Drosophila melanogaster: one gene and its partner. The protein of the gene in region 2 interacts with the protein of the main gene of each other region in a pairwise test. Each region holds a gene or a part of one and is shown on either strand. Other genes may lie near its edges.

Region 1 (4,539 bases), on a different chromosome or scaffold from region 2:
TGTAAAGTTGACAACCCAGGCACATTACTCACCCGAGGTGCCAGCCATCCAGCCATCCGGGCATCCGGGAGTATGGGCGGCATTAAAATAACCAGCCAACCGATTCAACGTCAAGCCAGAGCCCAGAAATGAGCATGGCCAAGAGAAATGGTAATGTGACTGGTCGAGAGGGCCCAGGTCCTGCTCGTCCTGGCGCCTGCTTTAGGGGTCTCCGTTTGCGACTCCTTCATTTTGCACTACTTTGGAGCATTTTCTCAATGTCTCTCACTCGACAAAATGTCGACAGCGTCGGCGGAAACCATTAATTTTGTCACTTTCGGAAGTGCAAAGTGGCGAGCATGTGGGAGCATGTCGCTGGCCGAGCCAATGGCCAGGTCACCAACTGGCTGGTCAATAGTGAGAATCATGAAAGGGCAATTAAAGTCGGGCACCTGTGTGCACATATCCGCGAATATAGCTTACCGCCGACTGCCAAACAAGTTAATTGCACAGACCGCAGGCCACACGACACTTGATAACCGCGAAACCACAACAGTCGTAAGTTGGCTTAATAATTACAAATGTATAATTTCATAGTAACGAATGATGAGGATTGTCCAGTCACCAAACGCTAGTCGAGTCACAAAGGATCATGCTTAGAAGTAAGGAGTGATTAGGGGTGGGATTAAAAGTCATAGCCACTAGTTCCACTGTTCAGTCTTCGATGACGCACATGATGTTGATACCACTTTTGCCAAGATTTACGCACTCCAGAGCAGAGTCCTGGTGCTGTCGCATATAAATTAGGAACTGTATGATAACGTAGAACAGGTTATTCCTATCGTAGACGCAGTTGTGTAGTTCTTTGTCGCTGATAAAGTTAAATTTAGGGTTAAGTGGGTTGCCGGTACTTAAAATGGCGCAGTGGGCCTTGTTGTGAACTGCGTTCACCACGTCCTTGGTCGAGCTCTTCTCGTCGCGAATTAACACGTAGCGGGAGTGAAAGGGTCGTCCGCCGCCCTGCGGCAACGGCATCAACTGGCTATCCAAGTACACGCAAAATAAATGGAATATTATCTGCAGAATGAGGTTACAATTAATCAAGAGTGCTCAGTTGCGGAATTTCGTATACTCACAGCTGCATCGGTGGGCAAATGCTCGTCCCGCTGCTGACCGTTGTGTGTTTTGCCCGAGTACCAGCGGTAGTCAGCTATGCAAGAGCCCTGCGCAAGCTCCTTGATGCGCTGCACCAGGTATTCCTGGTTGCTGAAGGTGTCCAGGAAAGGTAAGAGCATGGGCAACATGGGCGCACACGTCTGCACGAACTGCTGGTTCTCGGCTGTTTTGCGTAATCTCTCTACACTCACAGATCCAATTTTAATGTCAATCAGAGCTCGCTGGCGGAAAACATCGTCCACATAATTGATCTCTTTGACCAAACGCTGAAGTATGGTCGTAGAAATCCACTAGAAAATGGTAAGACATTAGTACGTTGCAGTGGAATATTGAACGGGATGCTTACAAATCTTAGGTTGGCCACATATTGCGACAGTTTGTCCGTGGATATGCGCTTGATGACCTCCGAATTGCTGTCCCTAAACTGAATACCGCCAAACTCCTCAATCGAGGTGGGAGCATTTTCCGTAGAAACAGCCGGAGGTGGCGATAGTTGATAGATGGTGGTCTTGAGCATATAGGCCGCATTGTTGCAGTAGTTCCAGAAGGAGTTGGCCGATCCCATGCTCTGCACATTGGGTGTATCCGAGCTGTCCATCATGCTGCGCTCCCGATCCGCCTGCTTCATTAGACTGGTCAACTTTCGTGTATCGGTCATGAAGTCATCGCGTCGCACCTCCGCATACGGGGACATATAGGTAGACTCGTTGCTCAGATTGCTGGCATTCAGCGAGTTGTTTCGAACCATCGAGGAGTTGTAAGAGGTGTTTTGTTTCGTCTGCTGCGGCGTCCTTGTGGGACTGGGGCTGCGGCGCATGGATTGCGAGCCCCAGCAGGAGTCCTCGAAGGAGGAGTGCCAGTTGATGATGGGTATGTCGTCCTCTATATCGCTATCCGGTTCGTAGCTGCGTGGTTTCATCACGGCTCGGGAGCAAACTGTACGAAAAGAGTTCTCTATAGGAATAAAAGTGGTTAAGTGGATGCGTTAGAACGGGTTCCTTTGGATTCCTCACCTGCCTTGCCATCAAGCAGCCACTTTTGGATATCGCTACCCGTAACTTGGTCACCACCAAACCATAACCACAAATACTTGCCGAAGCAGGCGAGTGCACTTAGGCCAATCAGGGTCGTAATGGTGCACTCCGCCAGGAACCAGTAGGTCCTGTAGGCGGACCGACATGCCTGCCAGAGGTCGAAGAGGAGTAGCGACAGCAGCACCACATTTATGGAGCACCACTTGAGGTAATGCCGCGCTTGGGCGCCCTGCAATCGCAAGTCCAGGCTGCGCTGCACCACTGGGTTTTTACTCAGCGGCGAGCTGAGGAGCATTCATGGGTTAATTTTCTGAATTCTACACTAGTTTCTGTCACTTACCAATTAGTCCGTGTAAAATTCATTGCCTACTATGTGATAATTATTAGAAAATCACCTGAATAGGTCGAAAATGCCGGGAAAACTTGTTTGTAAGTGATAGCACAGACAAAAAGTTAGAATACCACAAGGTCAAAAAATAAATACCGTTTGGAATGAAACGCGTTATGTACTTTGTTGGCTCAAGATACCTTAGCGGAGACACTTTCCCTAGCGAAGACACACACCTATCGGCGATGTTTTCTTTGGTATGGATCAATATCCATGATATCATATTTTTTAATAGAACTAAAATTATTTTTATGATTTTTAAAATGATTTTTTGTTTATCCGAATGTTTAAAGCTATTCACCCACTCTAAACGTATTACTTATCAGCAACTTTTAATTTATCATTTAAATGCAGTGTTTTATAATATTTTTTAGAGTAGTTATAAAATTAGCTGTTTTTTAAACAAATTTTTTCTCTATCTTCAATATATTATGACATAAGCCGTACAAAACCGAAGACTCAACAATTTTGCAACATTTATGAGGACGCTAAAAAATTCCTTAATTTAATTTAATTTAGTTTGTTTTTAATGATATAAAATAACTTTTAATTTATTTCATTCCCTAAGTAAATTGTATATAATTGTGTACACATGCAACTAAATGTGTATTCTCAATAACTTAAAAATATTTTAAAATAAATATTTATAAAATATAACTTTTTTGTTTAAAAATTATACATTCCTTAGCGCACTGGGATGACTGGGGCTCGTCCGGGAATTGAACCCGGGACCTCTCGCACCCGAAGCGAGAATCATACCTCTAGACCAACGAGCCGGTTTGAACCTCAGTCGACTAATTACGCAATCTAATGTAAAAAAAAAACTTACATATAGCCATTACAAAAGGTTCCACAAGTCACTTAAAATTACGTTATCTTATTCTCTCCATATAGACAACTAATTATTAGGCTCTCGTAGCATTAGACCCTTAATTTAAATTATTTAAATTATTAAAATTATTTAAATGCCATCACTGACTTTAAATAAAAAACACGCTTGTAACTATATGATATATTAAAAATAATATCTTATATATTGTTTCCTGATTTAATACATTTTCGAGAGGACGGTACTTAGATAGAGCTATTCAGTTTTGCATCAGTATTCCCTGATCGTAAAGCCCGCTTCACTGCCCTTCTTCTCCTTCTTCGTTTGCCAACGACTGTAGGTCCGACACCCACTCCCACACCGATCCCCGGAACAGGAGCTAGTTGCAGCAGGAGAGGATTACTGACCAGGGCGGCGGCGATGCCCAGAACGGTGGCACTGGCCAGCGGAATCAGGAAGCTTTTGGCCAGCAAGGCCTTTGGTGAGATCTCTGGCGATCCCTTGTGGGAGACTATCTCGTGGGAGTCGATGGGGTAGGAGCTGTAGGAGTAATCCACTGCTGGCCCCGGGTAGTGGCCATGTTCGGGTCGAGGTCGATAAACGTGGTATGGCACCCCTGCCTCTCCGCTGGAGGAGTAGGTGTGCCCAGGAGCAGGTCCTGGCTCATAGCCATGTCCGTTGGATGGTCCGTAGTCATACTGATAAGGTTGACTGTCATAGGCGTAACTTTTGCCAGCACTTCCACTGCTGCCATAATGCCCTTAAATAGTATTAAATATATTTTTAATGAAATCTACAATAAACAACAGTCATCAATTTCAAATATTAATCATTTTAAGTTTGAGTTTATCTTTGTAGAATATATAGATTGAGTAATCTTTGAACTCACCCACGCTTATTCGATCGTGTATATTCCCACCTAGTTTCCACTTATCATAGGCCTGGCTAAGGTTATCATTTAGGTCACTAGCTTGGGAGCCATGAGCTCCTCCAAAAGGCGGCAGCGCACCAATGGGCTTGGATATGAAGCCAGCTGCAGTGCTATCCAACTTGGATGACGATGAGCCCGGTCCGCGGTAGAACTCCGGGGGAGGATCGTAGCTCTTGGCTACTGCGGAGCCCACGGGGTCCAG
Region 2 (6,222 bases):
TAATTTAAATGTCATTTTACTCTAGCAGTTTATAGGTACCGTGTAATAAAGTACATGCACTTTGTACTTAAAAACATAACGTATATTTCAGTTAGGCAACCTAGAAATGGCCTCCCATTGCGTTAACCAGTTACATGAAATAGGATCGCTAAAAAACAATGCGCCAGGATTGATCAACGCCGGCATAGTGGAATTGGACTCGCACAACCTAATATTAGCACGCGAACGGTTTGAGGGAGCTCTGCAACTTCAGCCGATGAACTTTGAAGCCAGGTACAATCTGGGCCTAGTGGCCTTGGCGCAGAATGATTATGAACTAGCCGAGGAGCGTTTCGAGTTGCTAAAGGAACAACTTATGATGCCCAGCTCAGGTCATGTATTTTGTCAGCTGCAGGAGCGTAGAATTTCATCTAAACAGGAACAGCGCAATAATTAACCAATTAAAATAATTTAAAATAAAAATTGTATAAAATTAAAAATGATTTTAAGATTTTTCCCATAAGCCCTTTCCAGCAAACGAAAATCATTATTGTGCTTGGTTTTAAATATTATTTATTACAGTTAAGGTCAGGAATACACACATTTATATGCCCCAATAATAATGTTTAAAAAATATAACATTTGAATAGAATGTATACTTGTTGGTATTGCGTACAGGTTTTTGCCTTAACAATAGAAATGTCCTCTCTGACACCACCTTTTTAGGGTTAACACGGTAGCTACATTATAGAGATTAATTTATTTAGAAATTTTTTTTTTATTTTACATTTACATTGCTCAAACCAATTAAATAAAACACAAATATCAGCATACAAGAACCAATATCGGACACTTACAAAGACAGAGACGTAAAAAAGTTTTTAAAGAACCGTTTTATTATTCTAAACCCAATTGCGCTTGATGATTTCGATGACCCTCTTGAAAAAAAAACTAATTCAACTTCAACTAATCAATTTTGGCTTCCAATAATAAAAATCAATCTTAAATTTCTCTCTAACAATTTGCTGTCCATACTCCTTTGATTCGCAACCTGCCCAATTAAGCTGATGTCCTTCTATTAGAAGCTCATGTAACCGCGGGAGGTGGAACGACGCCTAGCACACAGATATGATATTAATACCACCAAAATTAATGCAGCTAAAGCAATTCCAACGGCAATGGGAACCACATCCGAAGTTTCCGAGCTATCGCAATCGTGTCCAACTGAGAAACCAGTGTCGTTGGCCCTCCGGAAAGCCTCCACCTGAACATGACTGACGCTGATCCAACCAATTAACTGCTCAGCATCGAGTGTCTCAGTCATATTTATCTTCTGAACACGAGTGCAGTGATACGACATATTTTCTGGTGTCTTAAACGCTCCGTCGCTCCTGGTAATAAGCTGAACCGTTTGATTTTCTGGAATTGGGGATTATTCGACACAGATCTGTCTACTATTTTTTATATTTTCTTACCCTTTGCATCTGGAAAATCCTCAGGCAGCAAAGCCAGATGAATTTGCATAAAGGAAAGCACAGTGGTGTCATTACTTTTATTAAAATACATAATTAATGATTGCTTTGATGTTTCTGGTCCCCAAATCAGATGAATAAACTGAGTAGTCTGGCTTTTACATTCTGCATCTTCAACAGATGCGTTGCTGGGGATGTTGTACAGACCGGTGGTAAAGTTTCCCTCTAAAGATAAAAGTCTTCGTTAGTCGGATATTCTTACAAAGATGCAAGTTTTTTTTAGTTATAATAATATATGAAGTTAGAAGTAAGTATAATTGCTTATTTAAGTACAAATAATAATTAATAAAAAGCGTTTGCCCATTAGCATAGATGGACAGACTATTCCAGCTTTCAAATTTCATAAATTCGATTTTACCGAACCCAGCTTCCTTGAGCTCGACTGGGAAACGATTTCTTCTACCTGTTATACACTTTTTAATATGTTAAATACTGGTTTACTGATGAATTATTTAAAAGATAACTATTATAAATGGTCCAAAACGGAGTGAAAGTTATTAAGTTATATATACGATGTACTACTTATGTAAGTCTTGATACACCATTCGATTTAAACTAAAAACAAAAGAGATACCCGAAGAGGTAACCGTTACTCAGCTAGTGTGAATGCGAACGCAACTTTTATAATTTTTCTGGGATATCGATAGATATTGGGGAATAAAATGGGAAAAAAAATGGTTTGTGGACGTGGCAACATGGGTCAACAAACTTGCGCTCCGTCTTTATCCTTACGTTACCCTTAGTGCATCATTAGTGCATCACTCGTTATTGTCTGAAAACTTGATTATCATTTCTATGTGTACAGTGATGTAAATATAATATATATAATATACATACATATATCCTTACATATGTACATCTCTTTTTAATCTAAACTGAAATATTTGCCTTATCGATTTCAGTAAGTTCATTAAAATGTTAAAACTGTGAGACGAGTTTCTATAAAATCTAATAGAGCCCATACCTCACCAATGCCGTAATTCGATCGCAATCTAAATATGGATTTATTTTCTTACCCCTAGCCTCATAGGTAAAATTAAGTTGTGCCGCCATTTGAAGCATAATACAAGAGGTATTCCAAGCCCCAATGGATGGTTGCGGATATGGTTGCGGGGCAATGGTCGTGCTTATCACTGGTGCGGTGGTCGATGGTGATTCCGTTGAAGGTGTGGTAGATCTCGGAGTTATTGTAGAAGTTGATCTGGTTGTGATAGGTTTCTCAGTTGTTGTCGAAGACGTTGAGATTGTTGAGGAGCTGCTGGTCAGTGGGTTTGCTTGTTCCAGAAACAAATCACTAACATTTTTACCGACTCTCGGCAAGCCAATAAGCTTTTGAGAGAACACTAAAAGAAGAATTTTTAAAAATATTAAAGCTTTTCTTTATTAAATCGGAATTTTCTTTAAATTGACGTGAAAAAAAAATTATTTATTAGAGATTCAAATGTACATATGGTTAGCTCTAATTGTATTTCCTTTGTTCTCTTATCAAAAAATTACCCTTTGTTATTTATATTAGTGAGTTTGGACTTGATGGACAATTTATTTCCGTTTTCAGTGATTTGTAGAGATCCTATGAAAATGGCCGTACCGTAACATATTGTCAAATATTTATACAAACCAAATGTATAAGGTCGAAATCGAATTTTAAATTCGGTCTGGTTATAGAACTATTTAACAAGATAAGATTAGTAGGAACACACTACAAATTAAAAAATAAAAAATATTTTCTGATTTAATCATTTATCCTTCTGTTGCTATGCCGAAACATTTTATCACGCATGCTATAAAAAAAAATGTTTTAAATTGTTTATTTTAATATGTCTCCCCAAATATGTAGGTACATACATATGCCCAGTCTAGCTCCAAGTCTTTGTTGTCTTATCCGCTTATCATAGTCTGATAGTCAGAGAACCGACTATAGCGTTATCTCTTGTTGTTATTTTATCACAGATTGTTTTTTTTATGTCATATATTATTTTGTATATACTATGTGCACAAATGTCTAACATTGGTATTGAACAAATGACCCAAAATCTTGTTATATGAATTGACAGATAGTAACCAAAAACTAAAGTATGCTATATGGCGGATACAAATTTAATATGATATGCCGATTTATACACCCATGCATATAAATATTTTAAGTGCATAAAATAAATATGGATGCATACGGTGGCGGATGACTTTATCTGCATACAAAACTGTAAATTGCCAGAACAAATAAGCGAAAGGGGTAAAAATGGATGTTCTCCGGGGCTAACGAACGTAAGCGACACCATTTTTCTAGAAGAGTTATGAAAGGATAGCCAGATTACTGAAATAGGTTTAAAACCCTTGATCTACGAAGGCAAAACTCGCAATTCAACCGTTTACACCTTATTACGCCGATAAGACACTAACGCATATGGCGACGTGAACGGCACCGGAAAAATAAATTATGTGCGATGAACAAACGACATACATATACATATAAAAAGAACTGCGATGTATTATCACATTGAACAAAGGCCTCCAATGCGACGCATTTCATTGCTGTTTTAAAAAGGGTTTAATTGGCTTGGCACTAACCTGTACTGCTTAGTAAAAATAACATTATTAGTAATGCCGAGCAGGTCAACAATTTGTTGGCGAACATATTGAATGGCAATCTCACTTAAGTTGTGTTGCAGTTTTTCTATACGTTAATCTACTACACTGACACATACGTTTTTGTCTCGACTGAGCTAGTTTTTATTTTGACCTTCTTCATCAATAGTGTGACCGAATTTCTAAAAGAACTAAAATTAGCCCATATGGAACCGTAATAATAGTACATGTCCACTACAGCAAGATGTCTATCGATATTTAATGAAACTTATAATAATAATATACCAAAAAATATATTCTTAATTCCATAATATAATACAATTAGTACATTTTCTTATCAAACATTTAATTTCTGATCAATCGAAAGAATTATATGTATAACATGTTATAATTTTATCACGGGTTTATATAACACAGGTTTATAACACACAGGGTTTATAACACAGTGGAAATATTTATAAATTAATTTCCATATTTTGAGTTCATTGACTTAATGAAAAAATGTTAGGTATTACCAAAGACACTATAATAACAAGATGCGTAACGCCATACGATTTTTTGGCACACGATTTTTTCGCCGTGGCTCTAGAGGTGGCTCCAGGCTCTCTCGAATTTTTGTTAGAGAGCGAGAGAGCGAAGAGCGCTACAGCTAACAACTGTATGTGTGCACACGTATGCTCATGCATTGTAAATGGGACAAAATATCCCCTTCACCCTAGAGGTTCTTTGACGTTAAATCTATATTATTTTTGATCAATTGGCACCATGCGAAAAATTCTTGTTTTGCATTGCCTTAACGTTATTATTGTTTGAAAATAGATTAGAAATAGCCAAATCTATGTACATATTATCACAAAAATAAATTTCAAAAATGACTTTATGTAAGAATATTTGTCATTAGAGTATTCATATTGAGGCGTGTGAAAAATTAATATGGCAATGATTGTTGAGTGCTTGTGTCCGCACTTCGTGCCGCAAGATATGAACAAAGCAAAGACACTAGAATTATTCGTTTATCCGTTTACACATTTATATTTTTGTTTAATTCTAATTTGTCTTTCATCTGACAATTTTTTAAAAGCGAAATATTTTTTTTAAACACTTTTAATGTTAATGTTACATCATATTAAGTCAAATGACTTAATAAATATACTAAATAATTAAAGGAAGTACAATAGAAATTATTATAACTACTGTAATTTCATAAATTTCATAAAAATATGATAACTGTTTATTGCAAAAGTCATATCAAAGACACTAGAATAATTCTAGTGTCTTTGCTTTGTTCATATCTTGCGGCACGAAGTGCGGACACAAGCACTCAACAATCATTGCCTTATTAATTTTTCACACGCCTCAATATGAATACTCTAATGACAAATATTCTAATATAAAGCCATTTTTGAAATTTATTTTTGTGATAATATGTACATAGATTTGGCTATTTCTAATCTATTTTCAAACAATAATAACGTTAAGGCAATGCAAAACAAGAATTTTTCGCATGGTGCCAATTGATCAAAAATAATATAGATTTAAAGTCTAAGAACTTCTGAGGTGAAGGGCATATTTTGTCAAATTTACAATGCATGAGCATACGTGTGCACACATACAGTTGTTAGCTGTAGCGCTCTTCGCTCTCTCGCTCTCTAACAAAAATTCGAGAGAGCCTGGAGCCACCTCTAGAGCCACGGCCAAAAAATCGTGTGCCAAAAAATCGTATGGCGTTACGCATCTTGTTATTCTAGGGTCTTTGGCGGAACGGTGGAGTTTTTTTCATGGGAACTTTTTTATTTATTTATTTTTCGTTATTTACAGGTGAATCCTTAAAAATATAAAAGCTAAATGTTTTAGAAAAGTTTGGTCTAACTATGTATGTACGACTTTATTTTATGGGACTTAAGAAGGTATATAAAATGTGCAACTAAAAAATATGTATTCCAATTTTTAAGGAATATCTCCAATCGGAGAGCGTGTTCCAAAATGTTCCCTAAACCACCTTAAAGGACGTTTGCTTAAGGACATTTCAGGAATAATTCAAACATAATATCCACACTTTTTGAAATAACTGCATATCAGAGGGTCAGCCCTATGAACTAGGCCCCCACACAGAAAATAAGGCATA

The links.
Region 1: the proteins of Lamp1 (region 2) and CG6479 interact in a two-hybrid assay, tested with the Drosophila melanogaster proteins (one large-scale study listed by BioGRID).

What each region holds. Positions count from the first base shown.
Region 1 is NT_037436.4:17,336,628-17,341,166, forward strand, and holds CG6479 (uncharacterized protein), read right to left. Parts: upstream 2,636-4,539; 5' UTR 2,553-2,635; coding exon 2,530-2,552; intron 2,510-2,529; exon of another isoform or gene 2,485-2,509; coding exon of another isoform or gene 2,474-2,484; coding exon 2,169-2,473; intron 2,110-2,168; coding exon 1,502-2,109; intron 1,446-1,501; coding exon 1,116-1,445; intron 1,057-1,115; coding exon 694-1,056; 3' UTR 545-693; downstream 1-544. Other genes in the region: CG13727 (uncharacterized protein), read right to left, coding at 3,652-4,166, 4,296-4,539.
Region 2 is NT_033779.5:21,571,419-21,577,640, reverse strand, and holds Lamp1 (Lamp1), read right to left. Parts: upstream 4,253-6,222; 5' UTR 4,147-4,252; coding exon 4,080-4,146; intron 2,855-4,079; coding exon 2,528-2,854; intron 1,677-2,527; coding exon 1,455-1,676; intron 1,399-1,454; coding exon 1,058-1,398; 3' UTR 538-1,057; downstream 1-537.